Linked DNA regions of Mus musculus: regions 1, 3, 4, 5 and 6 are each reported to be linked to region 2. The links are microRNA targets in miRTarBase. Many come from high-throughput screens and were not tested one by one. Region 2 holds a microRNA gene; each other region holds the end of a gene's coding sequence.
Evidence for each region. Region 2 holds the annotated microRNA mmu-miR-511-3p (AAUGUGUAGCAAAAGACAGGAU, at 2,592-2,613, shown strand). A microRNA usually pairs through its seed, bases 2 to 8, with sites in the 3' UTR of a target mRNA and lowers its output. Matches are read on the target gene's strand: a 7mer-m8 pairs with bases 2 to 8, a 7mer-A1 pairs with bases 2 to 7 and ends in A, and an 8mer does both.

Region 1: the mRNA of Klf8 is a reported target of mmu-miR-511-3p. Seed matches in the 3' UTR shown: 8mer at 4,122-4,129.
Region 3: miRTarBase lists Mrgpre as a target of mmu-miR-511-3p. Seed matches in the 3' UTR shown: 8mer at 2,581-2,588 and 8mer at 3,351-3,358.
Region 4: the mRNA of Rassf5 is a reported target of mmu-miR-511-3p. Seed matches in the 3' UTR shown: 8mer at 2,914-2,921.
Region 5: the mRNA of St18 is a reported target of mmu-miR-511-3p. Seed matches in the 3' UTR shown: 7mer-A1 at 2,649-2,655, 7mer-A1 at 2,619-2,625, 7mer-A1 at 2,566-2,572 and 7mer-m8 at 2,325-2,331.
Region 6: miRTarBase lists Sema6a as a target of mmu-miR-511-3p. Seed matches in the 3' UTR shown: 8mer at 2,281-2,288.

Annotation. Positions count from the first base shown.
Region 1 is chrX:153,392,008-153,397,415 of GRCm38, reverse strand. Klf8 (Kruppel-like factor 8) reads right to left here. Exons shown (of 8, transcript NM_001357183.1): 8 at 1-4,729. The coding sequence ends at 4,548. Among named protein-coding and RNA genes, the nearest start is that of Klf8, 35 kb to the right of the region's middle.
Region 2 is chr2:14,258,460-14,263,867 of GRCm38, forward strand. Mir511 (microRNA 511) reads left to right here and starts at 2,544; the gene lies at 2,544-2,622. Mrc1 (mannose receptor, C type 1) reads left to right here. Exons shown (of 30, transcript NM_008625.2): 6 at 2,730-2,876.
Region 3 is chr7:143,777,405-143,782,736 of GRCm38, reverse strand. Mrgpre (MAS-related GPR, member E) reads left to right here. Exons shown (of 2, transcript NM_175534.3): 2 at 924-4,374. The coding sequence starts at 973. The coding sequence ends at 1,905. Among named protein-coding and RNA genes, the nearest start is that of Mrgpre, 4.4 kb to the left of the region's middle.
Region 4 is chr1:131,174,189-131,179,596 of GRCm38, reverse strand. Rassf5 (Ras association (RalGDS/AF-6) domain family member 5) reads left to right here. Exons shown (of 6, transcript NM_018750.4): 6 at 920-3,187. The coding sequence ends at 1,072. It also overlaps a transcript of Eif2d not described here. Among named protein-coding and RNA genes, the nearest start is that of Eif2d, 24 kb to the right of the region's middle.
Region 5 is chr1:6,857,018-6,862,425 of GRCm38, reverse strand. It overlaps St18 (suppression of tumorigenicity 18), which reads right to left. Exons shown (of 22, transcript NM_173868.2): 21 at 4,983-5,126; 22 at 1,486-3,966. The coding sequence ends at 3,826. Among named protein-coding and RNA genes, the nearest start is that of St18, 130 kb to the right of the region's middle.
Region 6 is chr18:47,245,007-47,250,317 of GRCm38, reverse strand. It overlaps Sema6a (sema domain, transmembrane domain (TM), and cytoplasmic domain, (semaphorin) 6A), which reads left to right. Exons shown (of 19, transcript NM_018744.2): 19 at 734-5,064. The coding sequence ends at 1,935. Among named protein-coding and RNA genes, the nearest start is that of Sema6a, 120 kb to the left of the region's middle.

The sequences.
Region 1 (5,408 bases), not on the chromosome of region 2:
TCATGTATGAGAAAGCATTTGGGGACTAGGATAGAATTGAGAATACAGATTATCTCTAATTCAAGAATCTTGTAGATCATTTTGTTTCAAAGAGTTGAAGTTCTAAAAATGTTACTATCGTGTACATAAGCACCAGGTTCTAGTTGACTTTTCTCATGGGTATACTACAGGATAACACATAAGACACTGTTAATATGTATTTCATTAGTATTAATATGGATTTTAAAAAATAATAAATGGCAGAAGATGAGCTATTGTTCTTCCAGATAGAATGGAAAGATATGCAGATAACTAAGGACTGAAGACAATGATATAAACTTATATAAATCATCATAAAGATGATTATATATGGAAGTGTTTACAAGCATTTGTATATATAAAACTTAATATATGCATGTATTTCTTTGTTCTAGTGACTGAGAACTTGAAGAAATATCTGCAAAGTAGCAAACATATATAGTACCTACACCTTGGTTATAATTCTTCAGTAAAAGGGATTACAACTTATTGACAAAATGCCTGATTATAGAATTGTCCTCCATAAAACAAAAGCAAGATGTGTCTGGAACATCTTGCAACACCAAAAATTACTCACTTACTGAAAACAAAAAACAATAATGGGGGTATGCAAACAAGACTTCATGATCAATTCAAAAAAAAGCTCCTAACAGTTAAAGTTACAATTTGAGCAACAAAATAAAAGTTGCATTGAATTATAAGATAATCTATAAAATAAATATCAATGAGTCCATGTTGACAAAAATAAACATATAAGTAAATAAATAAGAGAGGAGGCAAAGCTCCCAATGCAGAAAAATTCCAAAATATTTGAACACTTGCTCTCAAGGACATAGTACCTAACTCACCATTTCTGTATATGTGGGCTGAGCACAGTAAGTTCCCTCCAAAGACTGCAGTATGATGATAGGAAAAAGGGTATAGGGGAGAAATCTCAGACACTATCTTAGTCATGTGACTAAGGATAATATGAAGAATGATAAGTCATAGAAAGATGATGTTATGAAAATAGTAACTCACTTGTGTGGTTGTTTGGACCCAAATCCATTGGGTTCATTAAGGTAGGGTTTAGTTTAGTTTAGTTTAGTTTAGTTTAGTTTAGTTTTCTGAGACAGGGTTTTCCTCTGTGTAGCCCTGGCTGTCCTGGAACTCACTCTGTAGACCAGAGATCCACTTGCCTTTGCCTCCCAAGTGCTGGGATTAAAAGGAAAGTGTTTGCCACCATGCCTAGCTTTCATTGACCTCGTTTTTTTTTTTTTTAATGAGAAAATTTTCATGAGAAGAATATAAAATACACCCCAACTGAAAAACATACTCCAAGGTCCTTGAGAACAAAGAACTCCAAGAAGCTATCACAACGAGGAGAATAAGGAGCTGTTATTATTAATACAATGTTGTATTTTGAAGGCGGTATTAAAACAGAAAAAAAGAACAGCAGATAAAAGCCAAGGTAGTCTGACGAAAGCATTGATTGTAGTTAATATTAATGTATCGGTATAATTTCACTAATTGTAACAAGTATACCAAACAAATATATAATGTAGAGTCAGCAGGAACTCTGTTCTACCTTCACATTTTCCTGAAAATCTCAAAAAAAGAGTTCCAACATGTAAAGTTTATTTAAAAAGAAATTCTCTTTACAAACATTCGTGGGTTTGTACATAATGAACTCCACTAATCCATCAAACCAGTTTACATTTCTTACACTTTACAATGGCAATTACCAACAATTATGTTCAGCTGCCAGATGTCTACAGAGGGAGAAACTTCACTACAATAAACTCCTGAATATTATCCATCCAGACACAATTTCCATATCCTAGGCAAATGTCATCCTAACAGTCTTTGGCTGTTGTAAGCCCATTACACTTAGTTAAACCTCAGATGTTAACCAAGAGAAGTGGAATGGTTTCCTTTATATCCCACTATGTAGCAAACGTATGTGCTTTTGGTGCAGTAATTCTGCACTGTACTGTTTGAGTTCATTTACTCTGCGAAGTTCTCTTAATCATGACACATTTGTAAAGACTATGCTTGTAACTGGAAAGATTTTTGCCATTTGGGAACAAAAAGAGCAAAGAGAATATGGTTAGAATTGGTTCTTGGCTAAAGACAATGGACAAAGCATTTGCAAAGTCTATTAAGACTCTGCAGAAACATACTTGAATAAAGGCTCAGAGATGCTAGGAACATCAGTATCTGGGATCCTCAGCTGATCACCCTTATGAGTACTATAATTTCATAGTGCTCATTAATAAACATATGTCTCAATATCCTGAAGTCTAAGGGGCACATGCCAATTCCAATCTCTGGAAAACAAATTTAGGATCCAAAGTGGAACAGAAGTACATAACCCTTTGGACTCTGTTCTATAGTATTGTACCAACTACTCAATTATAAGCTTAAGCCCATATATGGTAGGAATATACATTTTTCAATCTGTTTTACATTGTGGTCCCCATTAGTAGACTAGCCCTAGATATTGATTAGTGCTTAGTAATTAGTATACAGCCTGGAACTTGTACACCCAGAGTCAGGACAGATCCCTTACCAAAGCAGTAACAGTAAAACCTACATGCCACGTTGAAAAGTACAAGTAGGCCTTAACTTATGGAGAATTTATGCTCTGCAAAGACATTGAAACTTGAAACAAGGTAAATTAAAACAAATCTAGAATTATCAAAAAATGTGACTTGAAACACTGTGTGCCTGGTGTTAAGTGGTCATGACCATAAGCACACCCTACTTACTTTGTCACCAAATATACATGAATTTAAAGTTTTCTGAAGTGTAACATAAAATTGGACAAATATTGCAACCAATCACATAACTTCTTTTTCTTTAATTTGGTTTACTAGTGTGATCCCTGGGAGACGGTGTATACAGGTCTGTAAGGCCTCAAGGAATTATCTGGAGAAAGAATCTGACCCGTATTTGCCTCATCTGTAAAACGTGAGGGATGGGTAGAAGTAGACAGGACCCCTTCTGGATGGTAGAATTCTAGGCTTTAGTTAGAAAGTACAGCCACAGGAGGTAGTAACCTAAATTGTTCAAGCCAGAACATTTTGAATATCTGCCAAGAAATAAAGGTTTCATATGAAGAAAACCTTTAGGCGAGAGGCTGTGTCCAATCCTACTAATACAAAGCCCCTCTCCTTTTTCCCCAGGAGAGGAAATATGCCACGAAGAGGTAGATATGAGGTCCAGGGCCAGGAACAGAAGGTTTTATGCCCCAGAGAATATTATGAACAGTCTGATTGGGCAACCAAATGTATATTAAGCATCTTGTTGTTATATCTAAATAAAATAAATGGCTTGGGTATTAATAGAAGTTGTAAAACATCCAAAAAAATGCTTTCTATATGTCAGTGTCAGAAAGAAAACCTCTTCCATCCCATTAGAAAGAGAAGAACAAATGCCCAAAATGGCATGAAGTAAACAAAATTCCTTTAGTGCAACCCCTCACCTCTCTATAACGTGCTCAGTGTGCAATTTCTCATCAGGTAATACGCTGAATGGTTGCCTTATGTAAACAAAAGAATCAACAGTACAGTGGAGCCCATCGAAAGTGATGTTTCAACAGGCTGCCCTCTGAACGAGGCTTGGGATTAACAGCAGTTCTAACACCTTATCCAAGTAATTGTTCACAGGGTGCTCCCAGGTCTGCTCTTGCCTGTCACTGCCCACGTATTTTCCTAGAATACTTCTCCCTACTGATCTATCTTTCTGTGCTTTGAATATTTGTCCAAACTTAACCTAAAAAGAATGGAATTGTGCCATAAAACCTTTTATTCTAAAGGAGCATGAGGAGGAAAAGGAGGTCAAGGAATCCCTTCATTGCTCTTGATGAACTTCAAAAGGAGGGCTGGCACTGCCTGTAAACCAAACTGTTAAGAACAAGTAAAACTGGATCTACAAAACCTTCACGGTTAGCATGAGACTCTGTATTTCAGACTCAATTCTATGTAAATTTGATCAACCAACTCTACTGTTATGCCCCTTGTAGCTACAACTTTGAAAAAAAACCCTCATTTTAGGACATTGCTAAGTGATATTAAGTACTGGTTACAGTATATATATATATATATATATACATACACATATATGTGTATATATATATACACACATGTGAATAAAATCTTTAGAAAACAAGAGAAACCAGGGGGGAGGGGAGAGCAGCGGATGTTTGTTCACAGCCTTGAGTTTGATTCCTGTTTTGTTTGTTATTGTAGGAAAAATGTCTATAATGTAGCATGAGGGATCAGGGAGGGCAGCCATGGGCGCCGCACTGAATTCAACCCAGGAAGAGGTTGCAAAAACTGAAGTCTGGACAGTGAAGAGGTGAAAGTGGAATATGAAGAGCCGCATGGGAGACCAGCTAACTTGTTTTCCAGTCTCATTAACCTGGCTCAGTAGGCTGTTCGGACCCCAATCATGGGGGCAAGTTGTAGTCAAAGAGGCAAACGTAGTTACAACTTCAGCACACACTCAGGAGGCCATTGCAGCGTGCCTGCTGTGGCCTGTGATATTCACATGGTGTCATGACGCCGGCGGTGGAGGGACAAGTGGTCAGATCGAGAAAAACTGCGGTTGCAGTCTGTGCACCGGAATGGCTTGATGCCCGTGTGCTTACGGAAATGGCGAGTAAGCTCATCCGAGCGAGCAAATTTCCAGGAACAGCCATCCCAGGTGCACTTGTAAGGCTTCTCTCCTGCAGGAAAAACATGATGATATTGAAGGTAATCAGAAAAACAGCAGAAATACATTATTAAATGTATTAAAGTAAGACAGTCGCCTTGAAGAAGTACGTGTTATTCACCTTTTAAATTAATTAGTTTGACAAATGAACATCATATTGCACGTCTTCTAGTTTCATGATTTGTACACACTATGGGACTGGTTAAATACAGTTAACTAGCATATGTATTATTTCACATATTGTTTTTGTTTGTTTGTTTTGTTTTTGTGGTAAAAAACTTTTAAAACGCCTCTACATACTGCTGCTTGAAGTTCTGAAGTTAGGCTGAAGACAGTGTAGAACACAGTGAAGAACACAGGCTCTCAAAGAGTTATTGAATTCTGCTCGAATTCTACCTTTACCACGCTAACCGTATATTAAGTAATCGCTTTCCCCTGGCCAAGTCAATTTCTCAACACTACTAAATCAAGGTAAAAATATCTCAAAAGGTTGTTCAAAGCATTTTAAAAGGGAGACAGTAGTGGCCAGAGGCGGGAGGAACAGTGCAAGTTTAAGGTCAGGCTAGTCTACATAGTGAGTTCCAGGCTATGCAACTATAGTAAGGCATTGTCTCAAAAAGGAGTAGGAAAAAACCTCAAACAAAAGGAAACCTAGATTGTTAGTAAACAGTACAATCTGAACAATATTCATT
Region 2 (5,408 bases):
GATTCTAGTCTCTCTAACTATAGCACACTACCAAGCCTGGCTTATTGCAGAAGAGTACAGTTAATGATTAGTGATTCCTGCCATGGAGCAGGAAATAAGTGTGTATTAGTCATGTTTTATCAGCTTTGCTGCAGACACTATTGAGACTGTATTTAAAAAGCTGAGGTTTCCCCCTTCCCTCCTCCCCTTTCCCTTCCTCCTCTTCTCCCTATAACCCCACTCTCAACCTAGTTTCCTTCATTGGCCAGATTATCTCAAGCAAGTGATCCTTATGCTTCTGCCTTCTGAGTATTGGGACCAACCACAAATATGCAAGCCATGCCTTTTTTTTCACAATTCTTTTCCTCCCTCCCTCCCTCCCTCCCTCCCTCCCTCCCTCCCTCCCTCCCTCCCTCCCCCCCTTCCTTTTTGAGCCATTAAATACCTTAAAAAAAAGCATTTGGCTTAAATATGTTAAGTTTTCTGTTTCATACCTTGACTTTTACTTTTAAGATGAAAAAGATAAAATAGTATTTTAAAAAGTGTTTAAACAAGGGAGAGAATTTTAGAGACTCAACATTTAGGGTTATGTGTTTATTTAAGTTAATTAGGCTTCAGAAATCTCAGGGAAAGAGCACTCATTTGGCATGCACAAAATTTTGGGCCCAGTGAACAGTGTTGCAAAAAAATATATGTTGGTACTGATTATATTTCACCATGAAATTCCACTCAACATGTTCGCTCACTGCCTGATGAGCATAGGGCTGTTATGTGAATTGTTTTGTACTAGAAATCATGACCGGTTAATCTACTTCGGAGCTATCTCCAGCCCCATGACTTGAGTCTTGAAATGATAATCTGTTTTATTTTCTTCTGAAATATGGGAAGTAACTGAAAGTGCATATGAATATAGATGCCCTTTCTTCATAAGATGATATTGTCTGCTGCTCTTGGGCTCAAGGGAGGTTAGAGAATTGCAGCGGGACTCAGAAGCTTCAGACAGTGGTGATTATATGGTAGGGGACTACAGTCCATTCTTGTCTTTAGTAGTTAAAAGTACTCCACGTCATAAAATAGTTCATTTTCTCTATTATTCACTTGGGTACAACCCCTTGTGGTCTTAGATCTCACTGAAAAAAACCCTGGGTATTAACTTTAGAAAAGGTGTAATAGGAATGGAAAATGCCTTACATGTTTCCAGAAAATAGATTCAACACTAACCTTCTTAAATAATGTGAGAATTTTATGAAATTAAAATAAGAATATTTAAACTATTTTTGTATAAATTACTTAGTTGATTGTTTCATTAAACGTTTACTAAGTGATTCATGTTCTAAAACACATATGGAGTGCAATCAAGAATACTTTATGTGAATGATGAAGAAATATAAATTCAACTATATAATAGTCACCAGATTAGTAAAGACCTCCAACTGCTATCTCAAGGTCGGTAGAGGTGTTGTATTGATAAATGAATATATAATATGATTTACCAAAGAGCACAGTATTTAAGACCAGTATGTATTAAATGTGATATTGTTTCTTGAAAGTTTTTTTCCACAATGATACAGAATCTTGGCCATATTATCAGAAGATTAAAAAAAAACATCTTTATATGTATTTTGGGGGTTTTTACTTTGTGTAGTATTTATACAACCTGGAAAATGTTTGTGTTAAAGACTTCCAAGGGCTGGTGACATGATTTCCTTTTTCTGAGGAAAGTGAAATTTTGGTGCATAATGAACATCCACCAAAGGTCACAAATTAGCTGTGTGTGTAGCTAATTTGTCAGACTTAGGTATGAGATGAAGTTACTTTCTGGGAAACTGGGGTTGAAATGATAAATCAGAGACTGTAGGGATTGGTTACCCTTGTAGTAGACAAATGACTCATCTGAGAATGTAGGGATGGACACATGTATCTATAGCAGTAAATAAATGACACATCAGAGGATATAGGGATGGATTCATGTATCCATTATAGTAGACAAATGATACATTAGAGGATGTAGATGGATGCATGTATGCATTGCAGTAGACAAATCATACATTGGAGGATATAGTGATAGATGTATGTATCCACTGTAGTAGGAGGATGTATTGATAGACTGTAGTGATAGGGTCATATATCCAAAGGTGTCAACCCAGTCAGGTATTTTTAACCAGCTTCCTGTAAGAAATGAATGAGGAGATAGCTCCAAAGGTTTTTCTTCAATGAATCCAACAAAATGTGCTAAGAATCTTAGTTCTGGGAGTGTAGGACATTGGTTTCCAGATCTGTTTCACTGTGTTTATCCCTTGCATTTTCTTCTCTTCAGTTAGCTTCAAGTAGTTTTGAGCGTTACTATTGACATTAATATAGCCATCTTGGGACAGTGTACATTATTTTTATTCAGCCATTCTATATATGATACCATATATAGATACATGATATCATATATCATCACAGTTGTTTAAAGTTTAAGGTCTAATGCTATCCATTGTTCTAGGTGGTTATTTCAAACCACTCTGCTGTGAACTCAACATTTTAAGCCTTGGAATAAGCCAGCAACAAGTAACCAAATAGATACCCACCATGCCTTTTGCTCTGCACTCAGTAAATAATAATTTGTGAATGTGTAGCAAAAGACAGGATGGGGATCCATTAAATCCCAAGGATGACGACGTAAGGTGTGGTGGTTGGCAGAGGATGGAAGCCATCCACTTAGGAGACTGTGGTATTCCCAATTTAACTTTGTAATTTGCTTAAAGGAAGTCCATCATCAGAGCCTGGAAAGAGCTGTGTGTCACTAAACCCTGGAAAAAATGCCAAGTGGGAAAATCTGGAATGTGTTCAGAAGCTTGGCTACATTTGTAAAAAGGGAAACAATACCTTGAACCCATTTATCATTCCCTCAGGTAAGAGGATCTCTATGATCTAATGTGTACTCAATCAAAACTGAATGACATGATTCTAGAGAGATTATTAATTATTTACAGATTAATAACATGATATGTCTTCAAAAGTCCATTTCTTTGGTCCTACTGTCTGGTAATGTTTCCTGAACATATAGGATGGAACATAGGGCCCCCAGTGTAGGAGCTAAAGAAAGTACCCAAGGAGCTGAAGGGGTCTGCAACCCTATAGGTGGAACAACAATATGAACTAACCAGTACCCCCCCGGAGCTCATGTCTCTAGCTGCATATGTAGCAGAAGATGGCCTAGTCGGCCATCAGTGGAAAGAGAGGCCCCTAGGTCTTGCAAACTCTATATGCCCCAGTACAGGGGAACGCCAGGGCCAAGAAGTGGGAGTGGGTGGGTAGGGGAGCAGGGCAGGGGGAGGGTATAGGGAACTTTCGGGATAGCATTTGAAATGTAAATAAAGAAGATATCTAATAATAAAAAAAAAGAATTTTATATCTCCAGTCTTGTAAAGTAGGTATTATTTCTCCTATTACATGTTATAGGAAAGGAAAGAGAAATTCATAGGATATATAGTCTCTGTATACCCAACAAAACTGGAATTAAGACTAGGAAGTAAATATCTGGAGGGAAAGACTTTATTTAGTGATCACTGGTAGATGTGTATGGGGACTTTGGTACATTATCCATGATGGATGTAAATTAGATCCCTGGTTCATAATCTCTGATGGACATGATAGAGAGCCCTGGTTTATGAATTCTTATGGCTATGGGTGGAGGCCCCTGGTTCATGGTCTCAGTTCTACTTTACAGATTTTCTAGAGTGATTGTGCATGAACTTGTGGAGACCTCAATTGTTCTTGCAACTTGTCTCTTCTATTACTATTGCAAAAGGAATGGCTAAGTCTTTCTTGAAAGAATTCATATAGTTCTCTTTCAGAGACCTGCAGCAGTTACCACTTTGGGGAACTAGAGAAAAGTTATTTTTAAGTTTCTCTGGAATGAAAGGCACAATTCTATAATTTGGCCTTATTGCTTAATCCACCAGTTTTAAGTTCCTTGTTTGTAAAATATGAATGTTAGTAACTCTTCTTCTTTAAAATCTCGTTATATCATCAAGCTTGTATTGTTAAATCCACTATTGCCCCTGATTCACTTGTGCAGCTACACTAGCATTGGCCTTTGCATTGTTATCCTGACAAGATTATTCTGCTGTGCAGACAAACCCCTCTAAGTAGAGATTTAAATTTGTAGCATTTTTTCCAGTGCGATGGCACACACCTTTAATCCTAGCATGTAGGAGGCAGAGACATGCGAATCTCTGAGTTCAAGGCTGGGCTAGTCTGCAGAATAAGTTCCAGCTCCCCTTCTTGGAGCCCCTGCACCTGTTAAAAAGTTGCTGCATTCCCGGTTGGTGGCCCCTCTTGGCAAGCATCCAGTCTTGTACCCTTCAGTCCTTGCCATAGTCCCTGTGTGTCCGTAGTTCCCCCAGCTCCAGAGCCATAATATGCATCTTTGTGGCTACTAACCATAGGTCTTTGGTTGAATGAAACATGTCTAGTGTGAACTGAGATTTGCTGCCCATGTAAAATACATGTTGGATTTCCAAAACTTTAGCATGGGAATAAATGGAAAATCTTGTTTTAGTTGATCACGTATCAAAATGATAATAGTTTGGATATACCGAATGTACTTTTTTTCTATCTACTACAGCTAGTAGCAAATCTAAAATGATGCCTGTGGCTTACATTGCTAGCTACACTGTGGACAGTGATGGTCCCCTTCAAAAACAAAGAATCTTTTGTGCTTTTGTGTCCCAAGCCTCTCCCTTTGTTTCATTTGTGTTGGTTATTTTCTGTTTTCATACTTTGTGTTTTCCTCTGCTGGGCATTGATCATAGGACCTCGTGCATGATAGACAAACATTCTGCCACAGGGCTAGAGCCACAGCAGATGACAAGCATTCTGCCACAGGGCTAGAGCCACAGAAGATGTGTTTTTAAATGCTTCTCAGGCTCATCAGTTTCCTAGAAAGAAAAATTAAACATCCCACAGAAGGGATCTAGACTATGCTAACCTTTCTGTTTCTCTCCTTCCCTTCCCTTACCTCCCCTCCACTCTCTTCTTTCCTCTTCTCCCCTTCCCTCTCTTCCCCTCTCCTCCCATCCTCTCCTCCTCCCTCCACCCCCTCTTCCCATCTCATCCCAACTCCCTTCCTCTCTTCTTTCCTCTTCTCCCCACCTCTCCTTTTCCCTCCCCTCCTCTCACCTCTCCTCCTCTCTCCTCTTCTCCTTTCTACTCTTTTCCTCTCCACTCCTCCCCTTCCCTCTTCTCTTTTCTCTCCCCCCCTCCCTCCCTCCCTCCCTCCCTCCCTTCCTTCCTTCCTTCCTTCCAATTTTTTTTGGCAACTCATGAAAGTATTAAGAATTGAAATTGTACTAAGGAATGAAATTTTGTTTTACAACACTTCAGCTTAGGATGATGCAAATTAGAACTTTTGCCTCTGCACAAAGAGGCAAAAAAAAAAA
Region 3 (5,332 bases), not on the chromosome of region 2:
GGGAGAAAGGGGCCCTGTCCTATCTCTCCAAAGCACAAAGAAAAGTGGAAGACAGTGATGGGGACAGATGGCCACAGGTGCTGGGATAAGACAGGGGACCCCAGCTGATGTGTGGGACAGGGAACCATGCTGGTAGGATGTGGGTGCCCTTCTGAGGTCTGGGTCTCTAGTGAGGTATGTATGGAGTTTAGCTGCCTCAATGGCGCTGCCCAGCTATGTTAAGTCAGGTTTGTACTGACTCTCCAGCCCCACCCTCTAGCATTAGTGAGCCACTTCCTCAGGCAAAGAAGGCAGGAGGTGAGGACTCTGCTCAGCATCACCTTCAAACAACTGCCTCTTTCCCCTCAAGGAAGGAAAGGGACAAATGAGAGGCCTCCCTAGTCCCTAAAGGGTTGGAGTTCTGTCTGGCTGTGGACCCACAGCAAAGGAGAGAGAGATTGCTGGGCCTACATTGCCTATGATGTATGGTGTCCAGCTAGAGGGTCCAGAGCCTCCTGGCAACACACCCTCATGGAATGTTCCAGAAAGGCCTAGAAGAGTTGAGAGAGTTTTATGCTGATGGCAAACACAAGGGGGCCTTTAGAGTTATCCTTCCAGCTCCTATGTCCTCCGTACAAAGGGAGCTACAGGTCTTAGTTCCTCTTTCTCTTCCCATGTTCCAGATCATCCAGACCCTTTAGGGAAAGCACAGAGCACACAGTATGAGCTCCTGGAACGGGGCTCTTTGAACAACTGACAGAAACCTTTCTATCTTACACCTTGGAGAGGCAGGTTAGGTAAGGTGATGAGACAGAATGAAAGGTGTGCACCTCCTCCAGGGGCTGTCACCATTTCTGTCACCTACTACTCCCTGGCTACCTGGCTACCTCAGAAGTGGACAGGAGCAGGGTCAGGCCCCTGAGCCGGTGTCATTATTTTTTCAGGGGTGTCCGGAGAGAGAAAACGCAACACAGACTTCTGCAGACATCAGCCATGACGTCCCTGAGCGTGCACACAGATTCTCCCAGCACCCAGGGAGAAATGGCTTTCAACCTGACCATCCTGTCCCTCACAGAGCTCCTCAGCCTGGGCGGGCTGCTGGGCAATGGAGTGGCCCTCTGGCTGCTCAACCAAAATGTCTACAGGAACCCCTTCTCCATCTATCTCTTGGATGTGGCCTGCGCCGACCTCATCTTCCTCTGCTGCCACATGGTGGCCATCATCCCTGAGCTGCTGCAGGACCAGCTGAACTTCCCTGAATTTGTACATATCAGCCTGACCATGCTGCGGTTCTTCTGCTACATTGTGGGCCTGAGCCTCCTGGCGGCCATCAGCACGGAGCAGTGCCTGGCCACTCTCTTCCCTGCCTGGTACCTGTGCCGCCGCCCACGCTACCTGACCACCTGTGTGTGTGCGCTCATCTGGGTGCTCTGCCTGCTACTGGACCTGCTGCTGAGCGGCGCCTGCACCCAGTTCTTTGGAGCACCCAGCTACCACCTGTGTGACATGCTGTGGCTGGTGGTGGCAGTTCTCCTGGCTGCCCTGTGCTGCACCATGTGTGTGACCAGCCTGCTCCTGCTGCTGCGGGTGGAGCGTGGTCCAGAGAGACACCAGCCTCGGGGCTTCCCCACCCTGGTCCTGCTGGCCGTCCTGCTCTTCCTCTTCTGCGGCCTGCCCTTTGGCATCTTCTGGCTGTCCAAGAACCTGTCCTGGCACATCCCCCTCTACTTCTATCATTTCAGCTTCTTCATGGCCAGTGTGCACAGTGCAGCCAAGCCTGCCATCTACTTTTTCTTGGGCAGCACACCTGGCCAGAGGTTTCGGGAACCCCTCCGGCTGGTGCTCCAGCGGGCACTTGGAGATGAGGCTGAGCTGGGAGCTGGGAGAGAGGCTTCCCAAGGGGGACTTGTGGACATGACTGTCTAAGCACAGTGGGTCACAACTGCAGCTTCAGCCCATGGGGGTCCAGGGGAGCTGCCTGATGTAGGTAAAGCTGGGATCAGAGCTCCATCAGTAAGACTCTTGAGGGACATCTTTGCTGATGACCCAGTGCTGTGTCCCCTGGGAGGATTCTGGGAAGGGGCAAGCAGAGAGTGATGCTTCTGTGGAGGGCCTGGGGTTGTGTGTGTTAGGCAGAGCTCCTGGACCACCTCATAACAGCTGCTTCCATGGACACCCTCCCTCCCCACATGGCTACAGTGAGGGGACAGAGCAGGCATGAGACAAGCTAGTCCTGGTGGGGGGCAACTGTTCTTCTACCACTAGCATCCTCCTAGCTAGAGTGTGCAGTGACTTTTCTCGGTGCCCAATGCTCCTTCCTTTAGTGAGGGATAAATGACACTGAAACTGGACATTCAGTTAGGTATGGGGAAATAAGTGGCTTGGAAGTTCTCAGCGGCTGAACTTGGAAGTCCTAAGTGGCAGAAGGCATCCTCCTGACCTCACATCACTGCCAGAAGGCAATGCTGGCACAGGCCTGTCATCCCAGCTACTTGAGAGACTGGGGCAGGATTGTAGCCCCAGACTGGGATTTATCTGTAACTCTAGTTCCAGGGGATCTGTCTCCGTCTTTTGGCTTCTGCAGACACTGCATGCATGTGGTACACATACATACATACATACATACATACATACATGCATGCATGCATGCATGCATACATACATACATACATGTGTGTGACTCCAAATACGCGCACGCGCACACGCGCGCGCGCGCACACACACACACACACACACACACACCACACACACACACACACACACACACACACACACCACACACACACACACACACACACACACACACACACACAGAGAGAGAGAGAGAGAGAGAGAGAGAGAGAGAGAATAGAATTCAAGGTCAGATTATGCTTTAGAGGACTCATCATCTCAGGAAACCAAGCCCAGAGGGAACTGTGTTGAGGAGAGAGACCACTGGAGGATATAAACCTCATCCAATGTTTCAGAAAAACTGGTGGCTCCTGAGTCTGAATTTCAAAGTGAGGTCCTCTGCATGGGCAGCAAGCCCCCTCCTGTCGCTGTCCATATCCAAAGCACCTCTACCTAGCAGGAGAGAGCCCAGGGCTTCAGCACCAGGACAGTTCCTACCTTATCCTCTTTTCGGGATAGGACCTACCCACCTAGCAGGGGTTCTCTGAGGAAGCAGCCTGGTTGCAGGCCACCACAGGTGCCTGAGCTCCTGCCTAGCCAGGAGCACAGAAATGAAGGGGACCACCCCCCAATCCAGTCACAGGTGGCCGAGAACCAGGGCTTGGGAGCCCACCAGTCCTGAAAGGACTTACCATCATCCATGTATCATAGTCCTAACTCAGCCCTTACCTTTCTACTTCCTCACTGAATAGTCAATTGATTACACATACGCACAGTGTTGTTGTGTCCAGCAAGTCCCAAGAGGATTTTATTACATCATCAACCCTCCAGATCCACATTCGTGACATGCTGGTCTCCTTTGACATCTGTGTGGGTGTAATACTGACTTGGACCAGGCCCACAGATGGAGGGACATTTGATCTCTGTCATGACTAAACTTGCTCCTAAGTCTGGACACGGACAGAAGAACCCTGCCTGGCATCCCGGAATTGGCAACTCACTGCCCCCACCCCACGCAGGTTGTGTTGGGATGCATCCTGTGGTATGGTGCCTTCATCTCAAATTCTCTGGCAAGTCTATCTACATGCAGGGACCCCAGGAAGCTAGGAGCTTGGGAGTGCTGGTCTTCCTCTTCCAAAGGAGTTCTTTGTATCCCCCACAAAGGCCTTCCCTCCTCCACACTGGAGCTTAGGAGCCGATGTGGCTATCTGTCTGCCTCCAGGACAGGATTCCCAACTTCAGTTCCTCAGCTTGGGGAACTGAGAGCACGAAGGGAAGTAGCCTGTCCACAAGTCCAATTTTGGCCTCTGGACACCCACTTCTTCATGGGGGAAAGCCCATGCCAGCCTTACAGGTGTCTCCCCAACTGGGCACTAGCCCAGAGTCTTTGAGGCTCAGAGAAGCCCGTGTCTGCTCGAGACAACCCGGGACATGGCACAGACCTTCTACTCCTCTCCTAGCTAGCTTCAGCTGTTGACAGGGCATAGTCCAGAGTTATCTGAGGGAGTCTCAGCTAGGGAACTGTTTGGGTCAGGTTGGCCTGTGTGCACTGTCCTGACTGCTAATACATGTGGGAGAGCTCACTCCACTGTGAGCAGAACCACCCGTAGGCAAATGGACCTGAGCTATATAAAAAGCTAGCTAAGCATCAGCCCAGGGGCAAGTCAGTAGGTGGCTTTCCTCCTTGCTTCCTGCCTTTACTCCTGCTTGAGTTTCTGCCCTGACTGCCCTCAGTGATGGACGGTGACCTGGAAGTGTAAGCCAAATAAAGCTTTTCCTCCTCAAGCTGTTTTTTGTCATGGCGTTTATCACAGCAACAGAAAGCAAACTAGTGCATATACCATTCATCTGCCTTGTTGGGCCAAGACTGTCTGGAGTACCATAGCCTACCCTGGGTGTCCATGTCTCTCACCTACTCAAGCCCCTTAGCCACCCTGAGGTACAGTTAGATCATGGACCCTCAGAATATACCTTATTTCCCAAATGGGTTTGGGATACTTCAAACTTCTTCTCCACTGGACTCCATGCATAGAAAACTCTTCCCAAAGATCTCCAAGATATGCATCCTTCTCTGAAATTGCCATGGAAACAGCCCACTCCACCATCTCTATCACTTCTATGGTGTGTGTGTGTGTGTGTGTGTGTGTGTGTTGTCCCAATAACCTGGACTTGTTGGTTGTTCTCTAGGCTCAGGTCTGCCTGCTCAGTCTTCTTCCTGTTGTCCAAGAGACCATCCTGTCTTTGCAGCCAGCCCCCATTCTAACCACATCTCTCCTTCTGCCCTCAGAGCAACAAAAGTCCCACAAAGGACCCCCAGCCATCTCAAACACCACTTCCACCTAGTGTGACCTCAAAGCCAGGTTCTGCAACTAACCCTTCCTGGCAAAGCCAGGCCTTGAGAAGCCCAGGGGCTAGGAGAACTAGCAGGGCTAGCATCCATCATGGCCCACCCACCTCAGAATCTGGGAACACAGGGGCTGCTCTGGAGTACAGATTTCTCAGGAAACAGGACATTGTTTTTGTGGTGTCATCACTGGGTCAGCCAGACATTCTTAGGAACCACTGTAAGCCTGGTCCCTCCCACGGCCCACAGGGACACAAAGGAGCCCAGCCTATGTTGATAAGAACATAGAGTGAGCAGAGAGACATAGCCTGAAATAATACCCGACTGCCTACCCCACCCTGTGGCAGGCTAATAAAAAACAATGTTTCTACCAAGACCTGCAAGGGCCTTGCTAGCTCA
Region 4 (5,408 bases), not on the chromosome of region 2:
TGACGTCACACAGCTCATGAGAGGTGTCCTCCACCTGCCTCTGGGGAGCACGTCCAGCCCCAAAGTGAAGACCTCAGCTGCAGCTGCTCTTCTATAAACACAGGTGTATCCTCAGCTGCGGCTGCTCTTCTATAAGCACAGGTGTATCCTCAGCTGCTGCTGCTCTTCTATAAGCACAGGTGTATCCTCAGCTGCGGCTGCTCTTCTATAAGCACAGGTGTATCCTCAGCTGCGGCTGCTCTTCTATAAGCACAGGTGTATCCTCAGCTGCGGCTGCTCTTCTATAAGCACAGGTGTATCCTCAGCTGCTGCTGCTCTTCTATAAGCACAGGTGTATCCTCAGCTGCGGCTGCTCTTCTATAAGCACAGGTGTATCCTCAGCTGCGGCTGCTCTTCTATAAGCACAGGTGTATCCTCAGCTGCTGCTGCTCTTCTATAAGCACAGGTGTATCCTCAGCTGCAGCTGCTCTTCTATAAGCACAGGTGTATCCTCAGCTGCGGCTGCTCTTCTATAAGCACAGGTGTATCCTCAGCTGCTGCTGCTCTTCTATAAGCACAGGTGTATCCTCAGCTGCGGCTGCTCTTCTATAAGCACAGGTGTATCCTCAGCTGCAGCTGCTCTTCTATAAGCATAGGTGTATCCTCAGCTGCTGCTGCTCTTCTATAAGCACAGGTGTATCCTCAGTTGCAGCTGCTCTTCTATAAGCACAGGTGTATAGGCTGGGAACTCCAGGAGATTCCGGGACATGACCATTTGTGGCTGATGTGACCATTGTGTACGGTACACAAATGTCATTCGTGATACCCGCCCCTTCAGCTGAAAAGTGTACTTGGCTGGCTCACTGTGGAGCAACAGCAGAGCCCTGAGACATGTCAACTTCTAACCATTTTCACTTGTTTTCTCCTCCTCCTCTCATAGTGGGATGCCTTTTCCATTCCTGAACTCCAGAACTTTTTAACTATCCTGGAAAAAGAGGAGCAGGACAAGATCCATCAACTGCAAAAGAAGTACAACAAATTCCGTCAGAAACTGGAAGAGGCATTACGAGAGTCCCAAGGGAAGCCGGGGTAACCAGCCGACTTCCTGTCCTCTCAGTGCCCTCCAATTTATTTTATTGTTAATTATTTTGCAACAAAGAGTTACTGTTAAGACACCTCTGGTGGTTCCACCAGTGCCTGCCCAGCAGTTAACAGATGTGGCACAAAGTCTCTTCCACGCAGTGTCTATGCAGGGTTCGATTCCTGCTAACCCACCACACCATGGCTCTGGAGAGCTTCCGCCTGGGATCAGAACTCCTGTGGAATGACCAGTGTTTCCCTGCTCAGTCTGCTGGCCTCTCAGAAACCAAATAGTTGCCTCTCTGGTCACCAAACTCCAATCAATCACCAGCCGGCAAAAGGAAAGAAAGGTTTCAGAGCCTGTGTGTTCTTTCTCTGGATTTACTCTTCAGTTCCTCTTTTGGTTTGTTTGGTTGGTTTTTTTTGGCCACGTATAGTATATTTAAGGATCAAATGTGGCATATTCATTCTAGCTAAGTCCTTGAAAGCAGGAAAATGCTCATGAAAGGACTGTCCTTGCCCCAAGGTGCCTCTTCTTCTCTAGTACTAGACACTCAGGGTCAGCCTGAGATTTCAAGAGGCTACAGCCTGACCAGGCCGTCTCTTATTACCCAGCAGGCTGTGTGCATGCAAACCCAAAGACATATATGCACATCTGTGTGGTATTTCAGCATGTCTCTGTCCAATGTTTGATATGTTAACATTTGAATTTAATGCTGTCCTCCTTATGGGTTTCTACCAAAGAGAAACCAGCCACTTATCAATTTTAGTTTCTTGCTGAGCTGCCAGAAAGTATTACAGAGAAGCACATCCAAGCTGTCTGTGGCCTACGCCTGCAGGGGGTGGGGGGCCTGAATCTCCTTGGCCTTCAGTTCCACCTCCACCTCTGGCTTTAGGGTCTCCAGCTGTTGCCTGAGTAGTAGCTTTGATTACAGTGGTAAAGTCCTCCAACTTGGAGTCCTTTCTGGTGGGAAGCATGGTCTGCTCGCAGCACAGCACTGAGCAGACCCGTGGGCCTGACTTCCCTGGTGACTTCAGTGCCTTTTTGTTTGCAGAGAAAAGAGTGGGGCACTTTGCTTGAAGCTCTCTGCTGGCTTGCCCCTGGCAGGAAGTGGACAATGGTGCTATAGAGCCAAGGACACAGCCTCAGAGCACAGGGTGATTGATGATCAGCCTCTTTCCCATCAAGCTTCCCGGTCAGGCTTTGACTTTGAAGATGCGAGGTTACTAGACTGCATTGACAGCATCAGATTATGACTCCAACTCTTGAGTAGTTCAGACTTAAAACCAATCAGCCAGAGTAGCCAGGACTGCAAAGACACTCAATACAGATGGAGAAAAACTTGTCCCTTTAAAAGAGGGCCAGTGTTTCAATTGAGCCTCCAGAGGAGACCACTTTCATGTTGTGCTTGCCTTTCCATACCCTTTCCTCGGGTTGTTTTAAGCCCAAGCTTCTCCGTGTAGCCTAAAAAGTTCCCTACCAGCCCAGGCTGAAGCCACACTGCTCCCGTCCCAGAAGAACGCCAAATCCTTGTCATTCAAACTGTGCATCGTTTGCAGAGCTGCAAAAAGCAACATGAGCTAGCGACTCTGAGGTTGTGCACGCCATCAGCCCCTTGGCTGCCTGAGGTCTCATGCCCAGCCTTACACCTCTCTCCCTTAAGAAGCCCCCGTCCTGCTGTGTACTACAGGGGCACGTGGAAAGTCATTCCCTTCATCCTGCATGTCTGTAGCGTTAGGAGAAGGCATGGCTCCTGCTGCAAACACTGTGAATGCTGCTGAGAACGTCCCCCCATGGATGGCTTTTTATTTTTGACAAGAAAAAAAAATTCATGTATTATATATATATGTATATACACATAGAGGCATATAGCTATATATACAGAAAGGCGTTTATTCAGAAAATGATGGTAAGATTCAGACTTTAAAGCACAGTTAGACCCAGGACCTGTACTGAGGGTTGAGCCTCTGGAAAGCATGGAGTTCCTGACGTCTCAGAGGAGTCTAACTGCTGGTAGTGCCTTCTATGGTTGTATTATTGCTCTGTATGTGTTCTTTTCAGGATATTTTCTTTCTAAATGTCTTTCTATGTTTTTTAATGAGTAATAAAAGCTTACTGTAAAAACAAGTCACGATGGAATCGTCCTTGCTGAACGTCAACATCTTCTGGAAAGTGGGCTGGAGAGAGGAAGACTGAGGCAACTGCAGGTACATTTCTAGACAGAGCCAAGCTTTCTTCTCCAGTAAGCTAGAGAATGAAGGCTACCATTCAAACGCTTTTGAGAAAATTGTCCACACAGTAGAGGGTACTGCTTCTGGCTGCCTCTTCTCCATCTCTGCGGTGCTGGACGGGGAGGGGACTTACAGCTTTCTAGATACAGAGGTAAGCAGCACTTGTCCTTGGAATTATCTACAATGATGATGTGAGTGTGGGTCACTGATGACTTCAACTGCAGAGGGCTGGACTGGTCCGAAAGCAGCCTGCATTTTGGCCCCGCTGATTTCCAGCACGGAAATCTTTTAAATTCAAGAAACAGCCACATAAAGTTAACTAGGGAAATCACCACCTACCTTCCAGTGCTGCTCATGTATCACGCATGCATGGGCTCTCCAACTTACTCAGTTCTGCCTCTCTTCACCAGGCATCCTTAAAATTAGTCAATCACAGGGCGGGTGAGGGAGCTCAGTGGGTAAAAGGTGCTCACTGCCACGCCTGTGGATCTGAGTTTGATCTCTTGGGACTATACAGTGAAAGGAGAGAGCTCGCTCCCACAGGTTTTCTGCTGACCTCTTCATGCATGCTATGGCAAATGTGCACCATGTGTATATACACAGTGTGTGTGTGTGTGTGTGTGTGTGTGTGTGTGTGTGTTTGGTATAGCCCTAGCTGTCCCAACACTTACTATGTAGACCAAGCTGCCCTCACATCAGAAATTTACCTGCCTCTGCCTCCCATGTGGTGAGATTAAAGGTAGCTACCATTATAAAGGTATCTGGCTTAGACCGTAACTTTTTAAAGGATTAGCCCACATCCAACTTCTGCCTAGCCTGGTCCTGCACATCTTGTACTAGGGTCAGCCAGGGGGATCTGCCTGGCCCCCTACTACATGCATCATGCCCAATCCCCAGATCTACCCCAGTCCCACATCCACTGAACCAGCCCAGCTTGGTCATTCCTGACATACAGCCTCCACCCACCCACCAGGCTTTGGCCCACCTGCCCAGACTTAGTGCCTATCATCTTGGCTCCATCTTCTTACACAAAAACTAATACCAAGTAGAAAATGTGAAACCTGAAACTGCTGGAAGAAACATAGGCTGGCTCCTGCAGATACAGGTACAGAGAAAGGACTTCCTGCATAAGAAACTAAGGCAACCAGCTAAGGAAATCAAGTGAAGAGGAAGCCGACAGAATCTTTGCCCAATCCCCTGGCAAGCTACACATTGAATAGAGAAGTAAAATCCAGAATAAAAAAATCAAAAACCAGAAAGTTAAAAAAAAAAACCCATTTTTAAAAACTGGGCTAAGGTGCCGGGTGTGGTGGCGCACGCCTTTAATCACAGCACTCAGGAGGCAGAGGCAGGTGGATTTCTGAGTTCGAGGCCAGCCTGGTCTACAAACAGAGTGAGTTCCAGGACAGCCAGGGCTACACAGAGAAACCCTGTCTCAGAAAAAAAGAAAAAAAAGGGGGGGGGGTAAGGAACTAACGAGGTTTCTCAAAAAAGAAAACAAAAATGGCTAATAAATACAAAGAGAACTCCTTCCAGTCTGACTCTGCTTCACCCTCTTACACATCTCCAGGCCACTCACAGCGGGGAGAGGAAGGTGATTCAGTGCTGATGTAGAAACTGCCCAGCACGAGCCTGGACAGACACAGGCACAGCAGAGGGCCACTGAACCACAGTGAAGAGCAAGCCCTTCACAGATTTTGCATCTCAAGCAGGGAGCAGAACTTACACAGCACGGCCCCTCCAAGAGCACGCAAAACAGGAGAGGGCAGTGAGACGGGAGAGGGCAGCACAGTGCTTGACAAGGGACACCTGTCATTCCTGCTCCCTCGCTGCTCCTCAGGCGCAGATGCCCTGTGCAAAGGCCTGGCTGTAGCAGGGTCCTGCTAGAGTGAGCTCCTGCAGGGCACTTACACGTTCCACATGTGCATGTCCACGTAGACAGAATTCGTGAGATTAAGGCGTTCACTTCTCAGTGAAAAGGACTGTTCTTGATTTCAGAGCAAGAACACTTCTTTCTTTTCCTTCCTTCTTCTCTTGCTTCCTTCCTTTCTTTCCAGGTCTAAAATGGGTTATTTGGTAGACAGTAGATGAACAAGCCTCTTTTATCTCAGTGTTTA
Region 5 (5,408 bases), not on the chromosome of region 2:
GCTAGAACAAGGCAATTTCTCAATTCATCTGTCCTGCTCTTTTCATACAGGACTTTGGATCCAGATGAAGCATGCCGGAGTTCTAAATACCTCAAGATTTTATTTTATTTTACTTTTTGATGGAATGGTAATAGACAGAAAATGATGACAGAAAAAGTTCTTATCAATTTCACATCCTATTACAATTGAAATACACTGAATATAGTTGTATTGCTTTACTGCAAGAAATATTTGAATTGCTAAACAAATCAACTCCACCCTCTGATTGTTAAATCTCTTCAAGGAAGGTGGCAGGCATGGAAGATGAGGCTTTAGAAATATGCTGTAGCAACTCCACTATCAAACTACACCTAACCTTGAAATTCAGTCTTTCTTTGCAAAGCAAAGGCTGCTACTGAGAATTTGAACCACGAGGTATGGAGTTTTACACTGAATCTTCAACCCACTTTCCTGAGCTTTCTATCTCCAGTCATCTGGATTCCTTTTGTACTTTCTTTGTTATTCATGGGTATTTTCCCTTCACACTCCATACTTGCGGTTCCTCTGCCTGCCATGTCGTTTACCAGTGTCTCGACCAATCTGGAACTCACACTTTTCCAGGAAATACAAGGTGGATAGCAAACCTTCTTGCTGTTTCTACAGGAGAAATTGTATATTTACATGTCATAATACCTGTCATTTGCCTCATGTCCTCACTGAATTCAAGACCTCAGGAAGTTTGTTCTGATTAGAAATATGTGATGGGAAAGGGCAGATCTTGCTAAGTCCCAGTAGAATTGATACAATTCTATGACAAATTTGTATCATGAACTGTAGATACAACTTTCTCATAGACAGCAAAAACCAAGGTAGGATGTAAAACATACTAAATTAAGTAGACACTAAGATACTGGCTGAGCAGCTCGCATCGCTTTCCCAGAACACATATGAGCATTTCGTGTAAGCTTAGTGACTGAAAGTACGTGGTGCTCCCTGAAAGCAAACCTAATTTAAGCCCAGCTCCCGCTTTGATCCAGACTTCTCTTTAGTTAATTTGAGTAAATTTTACATTGCCTATGAGGAACAATCATATTTAAGAGATGTGTAAGTCTGGCTAGAAACTCAAAAGTAGAGAATACTGATGACTTAGGAAAACAAAAGCAGGTAGCCTAGAATTATCACATTTTTTGAACCTACCTTGCATAAATGTAAGCTATATTCAGGACCTCCAGCAGTTTGGTATCAGGAAAGGACTCCTTGTGTGCTATTCATTAGATCTGGGCAAAATTCTTTCTAGTTCTAGCAAAGGCAAAGGCAAACCCCATTTTGGAGATATGTTCTACACCAAGGTGTTAACCAATCAAGATGTTAACCAACCAAGAATCCTCTCAACCAAGGGTAAAAGTGTTCAGAAGGAATTGTTCTGTGTTAGAGGTTTTCTACCATATCAGGAGCTGTGGGTCATGGGGTTGGTGACATCTGTCTTGATAAAGTAAATATCATGGCCAAATTCATTATCAATTTTTATTTCCTACCATACACCAAATGCACAGCACTGAACACAATTTTGTTGCAATGATGTAAGAAATATTAATCATTTGGAGAAACAGTATACAAACAAACTACTTCAAATAAAAACGCATACATCACTGCCTTTGTTTTTGTTTACAAAATACCCAATTTACAGTATCAATCATTAACATAGTTGAAAAGAAAATAATTCAGTGCATGTTATAAAACACAAGTACGAGGAGGCAAATAAATACAGATACACTTCATAAAACTATATGAACACAAATAAATTAACTGAAGCCATGTAAATTATAGTAATAAATACATAGGATTGCAGGAGATCTCTTTAAATAAAATATATAACAAACTTGTTAAAATATTTAGCAAAGTAAACTTCTGTCTTTGTAATAAGTGAGCCCATTTGTGTGCTTCTTTGAAGTATTGTGTAGCAAAATGTTCAAAGACATACTTTAATAGGAAACTTTGTGTCCCATTTATAGTAGACACTACTCGCAGTAGCTGCTTATTTTAAAATTGAGCTTTAAATAAACACCTTTCCTACCTAAGAACAGACATCTCATTTTCACTAAACTAAGATTCAAGAGTTCAAATGAACCCCAAGCCAAAGATAAGCGCCACGTGATGCATAACAATATCCACGGTTCCACGAGAGTGGAGTGACTATACCACTTCTCATGTATCAGAGCATGTAACAGTAGTAACAGTGAATTCAAGCCTGTGAATGCCATCACACTAAATCTAAATATTCATGAGGCTAATAAAAAATAAACACTTTTATTATAGCACAGAAAATTAAGCCCACACTAAAGTTCATGTGTACTTTTACATAGAGGCACATCTGCACATGAAATGTGTGTGCACACCAAAAAGGCAGTTTAGCTGGTTGTCTATACCTTTTCCTTAAAAAAAATAAATATAAAAAAACTTTTGAAACAATGCTTAACTACTTTACAGTCCCTGAAATAGACATTGCCTTTACTACAGCAACTTCTAAACTCTGATCCAGTTGAGATTGCAGGTTGAATTTCACGTGTGGATGAGTGTGAGTGCATATATGTGTGTAGACTGTGCTGTTGTGTGTGTGTGTGTGTGTGTGCATGTGTCTGTATGTGTGTGTATGTGCATGTGTGTACATGTATGTGTGTGTGTGTAACATCCTTTGTGTCACTTGAAGTTCAAGAGTTTTATCAAATTGAAACTGCCTTATTTATTAGGGAAGCAAAGACCAATGCTGCCAATATTCAAGGTAACCACTTAGCTTGGAATAGCATTTTTTTTTTCAGGCCTTCTGTTTTGCATTCTATTCCAGTCAACCCAGTAAGATAAATGCTATTTCAGGGGATACGGTATCTACACAATTTCCATTTGGATGTGTCTGTAGTTGTAAGTACAAATCTACACCAACATTGTCACTTGTATATTGTACTAACGTGTAGCAGGAAAAGCCAAGCTGGTCCCATCAAAGCTTATTTCTCATTTTGGGAAAGGGTTGCCAACTAGCCAATATGACTTGAAAAACAAGAAGACAAATCTGATTCACTTAAAATGTATGCTTTAAGCAGTCTAAATAAATAATTCATATTAATTAAATCTCTGCAGCCATGTGGAATACTATGCTGACTATTTTATTTAATTATTGCTATCAAGTTCTGAGTGCGCTGTTTGCTAACATCCTGTGCTTTTGTGAGTGTGGATTTCCCACTAGTGGGCGCCATTTATCTTCATAATCCTTCACAGCTCACATTACCAAAAGCCATTTATAAAAACAAAACCAGTAAAGGAGAAATGGAAGTGCACAGTAGAAACCAAGCTTGACCACAGTGTAGTCCTGACATCAGGATTTCCTTCATACATTTCTTTTGTTTTGTTTTTCTCATTTAAATCCAGAAAGATATGTGATTTGAGAACAGCATTTCTATTTAAATCCTATTAGAAGATAAATTAATAAACACACCTGTAAAAATATAGTAGACTTCAAAATGCAGTTAAAAGATAAAAAACTCTTTGATTAGTAATAAATAAAATATAAAATGTCACATTTATTTTTACATATACTTTACAAAATAAAGAGTGCAATGAAGAAAGAAAAGAAAAAGATATGAAAATAAACGAGTTTAATAATTGACTGCATTGCTTTTAATCCAAAGAGTTTATCATAGTTTTTCTTTCCTTTTTATGTCAGCTGGGGAAAAATTAGTGCAATGTTGCAATTATAAACACAGGGACAGCCTCTGGGCTCCAGGGGTATTAGGCCCCTGCAGATTTGTGGGAGTTCATGGCCGTAGTGACCTCTGTTTCCTGCATACTGTCGTTCTACACATGGATGCCCTTCACCGCCTGCTTGATGCTTTCCAGTAGAGCTTTGCATTCTGGGGAATAGTCCTGTTCCAGATTGCTGTACATGTCTGTGAGAGTATTTACATATGCTTCAAAATTCTGCTCATTGATAGGCCCCTGATGGAGACACAAGGAAACCAATCACAGAGGTTCAGCTGCCCCAAGGAAGATCAGGAGATAGTGACAAATGTTGCCAACTTATATAAGTAGGAAAAGAAGGGTTTATAGGACTGTGGCAGTTTGGGATAGGACAGAAAATGTGTGTGTGTGTGTGTGTGTGTGTGTGTGTGTGTGTGTGTACTATCTGTATACTCTTAACTCATGGCATTAATGGAATGCAATTGAATAGTATTGGGGATCAATCTGGAACCACATAATAAATGCTGAGCTAGAGGTGTCCAAACTATATGTCTTTTCTTGGGAAGAGTCTGGGTCTCATTTGCACTTTTCAGTATAAAACCAGCTGTCTGTGGAAAGTATGCTAGGAGGATGAAGCTTTTGCCAAGTGGTTCTTTAACAGTCCTATGTTGGAATGGCAGGGATTGTACTGAGCTGAGGAAATTAACAGCATCACCAATATAGCTCCCAGCAATGCATCTCCAACTCCAAAGACTGATTTACATTTGTGAAAATGTAGAATAAACTTTTTGTGAATTCTAAATAGTTGCATACTTATGAATAAGGGGTAAGGGATAAGAGATAAGGGATAGGAATAGGAATACGGATGCCTTGGTCACACACATGCATTCTATGTTCCATGAAAAGAAGTTGAATATTACAATGAGATTATTGGGAGTGTTATAGTTCATGAGTTGAGTAGATGATGCTGAGGGATGTATAGAATCAACTGTTTGAAAACATATTTACAGTGAGTGAGCTCTGGCATCCAGCTTTCAAATAACTTTATAAGATAGCTTTAAGTAAACCTTCATCCTTAAAGAGTCCTGGCCTTTTGGAATGCCACTGGCCTTGAATTATCTGAATATGCATATCTACCGTGTTCTTAGATTGCGAAAGCATTAAGCATGAAAATGAATCAGGGGTAGGTGACTGTCAATAGTTCAGCCACAGGGTAATGGAACAAAGACATTGAGGTAGATGATGGGGTAGCAGAGCCTTGCTCTTGGTCTTACCATCTGTGGAAGTTGGATGTCAGCAAGGCTGGAGATGAGAGCCTGGCTAAGCCCTGCCAGCTCCTTCAGCAGACTCTCATTGCTCTGTTCTATAAGCTTGTTCTCCTCCTCTATGGTCTTCAAGTTGCTCTCCATAGATGTTATCTACAGCAGAGGTAATGACATAAGAAGCAGAGTTAGAGGCCTTTAAAAGGTCTCTGGGGGAAACCTGAAGCTAGATGTAAGTGCCAAGGGATGCCTCCATCCCAAACTGCAGCCCTGCCCTTGCATTCTAAGTGTTAGATACCTCCAGATTTATACTTTTAACAAGACTTTCCATGAATTGCAGGTCTCGCTTCTCTACATGGCTATATGGTGGCTATCTTATTGTCAATATGCCCCAGGGTAAATCGGCTATTTTCCCAATTCTTGCTCAGTAGCATGTCT
Region 6 (5,311 bases), not on the chromosome of region 2:
GACAGCAAGCCCTGAGAGTAATAATGGGACCTGACATGTTACAAGCCCATAACGGGGCCCTGATTTAAATATTCTCTCACTTCTGATGCATATTTACCTGAAATTGAGTGTGGGTTTTCCTTTTTCCATGCAAAATAAATGTAAATGCTGTAACCTGTGAGCTTCGGCTATTTTTCATTGTGGTGACATAAACCCCCTCTATCCTCGTGTAGATTCAAAAGCAAACATGCCTTTCTCCAGACAGAGGTCTCCTTGTCAGAAGGCAGTCATCAAGAAAAGACTGAGTGGAAAGCCCTGGATTGTTGTGTGATTTGTTCGATTAACATGCATAAAATTGTTGCCACTTCCTCCAAATAGCTCATTTATTCTAATTCTATAGAAGGTGGGAAAGATCAAAAGGAAAAGACAGATAAATAAAATTTGACCCTGCCAGCCATCGTCCTTAGAAAGAAGTTGAAAAAATATGTACCAGAGAGGACAGCCACAAAAGAAGGCAACAAATAAAATCGATTTACATACACATCCCAGGGCTGGCTGGGGTGGGGTGGGGGCAGGGAGGATTAATTAGTTAATGTTTGGCAAGCTGTGCCCTGAAGATGAGCTATGCAGAGGTGCTATCATCACTTATTACTGTTATTAATTAACAGTGTGATTGCCAAACACCAGAACACCCCCCACACACACACCCAGTGTGTGGTTCGTTTCTTAATGCCATGTGCGATCTCTATTCCAGGAGTGATTCGGGAAAGTTACCTCAAAAGCAACGACCAGCTTGTTCCTGTCACCCTCCTGGCCATTGCAGTCATTCTGGCTTTTGTCATGGGGGCCGTCTTCTCGGGCATCATCGTGTATTGTGTGTGCGATCACCGGCGCAAAGACGTGGCAGTAGTGCAGCGCAAGGAGAAAGAGCTCACTCACTCGCGTCGGGGATCTATGAGCAGTGTCACCAAGCTCAGTGGCCTCTTTGGGGACACCCAGTCCAAGGACCCAAAGCCTGAGGCCATCCTCACACCACTCATGCACAACGGCAAGCTGGCCACGCCTAGCAACACCGCCAAGATGCTCATCAAGGCTGACCAGCATCACCTAGACCTCACCGCCCTGCCCACCCCAGAGTCCACCCCGACACTGCAGCAGAAACGGAAACCCAACCGCGGCAGTCGCGAGTGGGAGAGGAACCAGAACATCATCAATGCCTGCACCAAGGACATGCCTCCCATGGGTTCCCCTGTGATTCCCACGGACCTGCCCCTCCGGGCCTCCCCAAGCCACATCCCCAGCGTGGTGGTCCTGCCCATCACGCAGCAGGGCTACCAGCACGAGTACGTAGATCAGCCCAAAATGAGCGAGGTGGTGGCTCAGATGGCACTGGAGGACCAGGCTGCCACCCTGGAGTATAAGACCATCAAAGAGCACCTGAGTAGCAAGAGTCCCAACCATGGGGTGAACCTTGTGGAGAACCTGGACAGCCTGCCCCCTAAAGTTCCACAGCGCGAGGCCTCCCTAGGTCCCCCGGGAACCTCACTGTCACAGACCGGCCTGAGCAAGAGGCTGGAGATGCAACACTCCTCCTCCTATGGGCTCGAATATAAGAGGAGCTACCCCACGAACTCGCTCACAAGAAGCCACCAGACCACCACTCTCAAAAGAAACAATACTAACTCCTCCAATTCCTCCCACCTCTCCAGGAACCAGAGCTTTGGCCGGGGAGACAACCCACCCCCCGCCCCGCAGCGGGTGGACTCTATCCAGGTGCACAGCTCCCAGCCCTCTGGCCAGGCCGTGACTGTTTCGAGGCAGCCCAGCCTCAATGCCTACAACTCACTGACGAGGTCGGGGCTGAAGCGCACCCCCTCGCTAAAGCCAGATGTACCCCCCAAACCTTCCTTTGCTCCCCTTTCCACATCCATGAAGCCCAATGATGCATGTACATAATCCCAGGGGTTGGGGGGCCAGGAGTTGAAGCATCCGATGAGGCGAGGCACCCACCCAGCTGAGCAAGGTCTCCATTGCCTCGAGTATCCACCCGACCAAGATGGCCCTGGAGGAGCTGAGGACGCTGGGTCCTCCTCCCTGGGACATAGGGATACTCTTCAAAATTGGGCCGTGTGGTCTGGTGAAGGTTTAGCAATCCACCTCTGCGTTCTCTTCCTTCACATCCACGTCATACAGCAGGTCGGACTCACGAAAGACTTCAGTATCATCACAAACATGAGCCAAAAGCACATCTCCACCCCATCCTCACATGAACACAGGCCACAGTCACATTCGTGCACTACATACACATACACACACACACACACACACACACACACCATACCACACCACACCACACCACACCACACCACACCACACCACATCACACCACACCACACACGCAATGGTAAACGACAACCACATTTTGTCCCTGACTATACAGGACGTTACCAAACTTGGCTAAGCATCAGAAACTTTAAAACACACACACACACACAACCATTTTTTTTTTAAAAAAAATCATGAAAATTAAAAAAAAATAATAAAGGATTCATTGATAATTCTAACTCAGACTTTAACAATGGCAGAAGTTTACTATGCGCAGATACTGTGAAATGCCCACCAGTGTTACAGCTTTGTTATAGCAGGTAAATGCCATGTTGGGCAACGATGTCATAGATTTCTGCTCCTCTTCGCTTTTAATGAATAACGTGACCGTTAACGCAAGTAACTCTTATTTATTGTCCACCCCTTTTCTTTTTCCTCAAGGAAAAGACTCTTCCAAATGCCACCACATGAACAGCTCTGCGGAAGCCCGTGGAAAGTTAAACTATTTAACGTGAAATCCATTAACTGGAATAATTGAGTTTCTTTATTTTTACAATAAATTCACTGAGTAAATAATTTGGAGCTGGAATTCTGAGCTTTGTGTTTGGACTATCGGATCAGTAGCTAAAGGACAGTGCTAGGAAGGAATATTTATTTAAATCTAGTTAATTTGTCAGTTGGGTTTCTCGCCAAGAGGAAAAAAAAATGTTTAAAAATCCTTCCAGAGTCTAACTTCCAGCCAGGACAGAAATGTTTAGAATGGTGCCTAAGCCCCATTGCCGTAAACATGGCTTTGTCTGAGGACCCCACCATCAGGAAGGCATTAGCTTGTGAAACCTGCCCCTACCCCCTACCCCCGATCCCCGACCCCCACCATCTCATTTCACCTTGCATGTGAGACAGCAAAACAAAGATCCACAAACTGTGTGAACTAATTAATATGCTGGCTGCTACCTTGCATAAATTAATGATTTGATCACACGGGTGTTTCATGAGGTTACATCTGTGAATAGCCTGTTTTCCACATGTAAATTTGTGCCTTACACTCTGAGTTGTATACACTTGTAAACTGTCGTTATGATCAACTTTCTTTTCCTACTTGAAATAAAGGCAGATATTTATTTAAACCCTGCCCTCCATTCAGCCCTCTGGAAGACTGGAGACAAGCAAATGGAACAGACACGGTAGCGATGGTTGTAATGCTGAAGGCTGGGTGATACCCTTCAGTTCTCCCTGCCTTCCCTTGTGCCAACGCCAGCCACCCTTTGGCCATGCTGCAGAGCATGGACCTCCAGTGTTGTGGGTGGAAAAAACCCCTTTCCCTTATATTCCCAGATCATTTCAATTTGGTGACATCTTCCTGAGCCAGCCGAGAAAGGACTGTGTTCACTGACTGGAGAATCTTGCTGCGGTGGTTAGGGAGGCAACTGGGAGGCGTCTCCGAGCTGTGCCTTCAGCACACCCAGGCGATACACAGAGAATCAACCAGAAAATAGACCAGGCAGGCTGGTCCCTGCTGTGATTAATGGGTACCCCAAAGTACAAACTAACGACAATGGATGCTGAAAAATCCATTTCTGGGGCAAAAGTATTTTTTTGTTTATTTGTTTCTGTTTTTTTTTTTTTAATTCTTTTATCTGTTTGTTGTTTGTAGAGGGTTGGGAGGGGTAGTGTGTGGTTTTGTTTTTTGCTTTTTTTGTTTTTCCCCTCCCTTGGTTTTCATTTGCTAAAGCACACAGAAGGCACCTTTGTTTACTCTATCATGAACAAAAGAATTGTCTGCACACTGTAATCCGTGAGCACTGTTTCCATATAAACAGTTTATTTGGTGGTCTCTTGGTCTCTTTTCTTTTTCCAGTTTGATCTAGGTTTTGTTTTGTCTTTAAAATAAAACAACAATAATAATAATAATAAAACTTTCAGAAAAAAAAAGATTGGCAAGAACAAATTCGAATTGGTTATTTAAAATTTCTATGTTGCACCCGCCGTCCGAGCAGTCCTGCAGAGCCCACGGTGTACAGCCGAGAACAGGTGTATAGCCCTTTGTTCCAAGACTTGCCTCGGACCAGCTAGACTGTTGTTTGAGATACATAAGATATCACTGGTTTTGTTTTGCTCTTTAGAGGAGTCATTGTTCATGGTCTGTAACCATTGCACCCTGAAGCCAGAAAGGCTTTTCTAGAAACAGATGGTGTCTTCTCTATTTCCTTTTCTTCACAAATACAAAAATGAAAAGGAAGGTGCCTGTCAGCCACCCCATACCCTCTCCTCCCTTTTGACTCCCAAGAGTATTACCCCAACCTCATGCCCATGTTAATGGGCATCATTGCCTCAGTTGTGTTACGGAGACCCATGTCAAAACCCACATTCCTACACCCCACACCCCGCTCCTTTCGGTGTCCCACATGTATTGAGCTGGTCTTCTGCTTTTCCCTGTCCCTCTCCCTTTCTGCCCTGACCTTGCATTCGGGGGTAGGGAGGAGATTGCCCATGAACCTGAGCGTGCCTTCGCTTTCCACCCTGGCTAGACAGTGTCGATGCAACAAACGCAGACTTACATTGGTTGTAAAGTTGTAAAAATATTGTGATGTCACCAATTTTCCTTCCGTCTCCACACATCCTAACATCTGATTCACAGTTTAATGTATGTAGTTTAAAAGAAAAGGAGAGAGAGGATGAAAAAGAAAGGGGGAAGAGCGGAAAAATCAAGGGATATGGCTCTATTACTTAAGAGTAATAAAATCAGACTGTTCTACGTTATCTTTTGTGTCCTGAATGCTTTTGTTTATGTCTTTAGTTTTCATTCTTTAGCCACTCTCCTGCCCACCCCCTCTCAGGATAGGATTCTCTTCCTTCTCTCTTTCTCTCTCTCTCTCTCTCTCTCTCTCTCTCTCTCTCTCTCTCTCTCTCTCTCTCTCTCTCTCTCTCGTTTCCTCATAAATAACCATATAGTTAGACGTATTTGTTTGCAGCCTCCTCGCCCTGCCCCCTCCACCCAACTTATTGA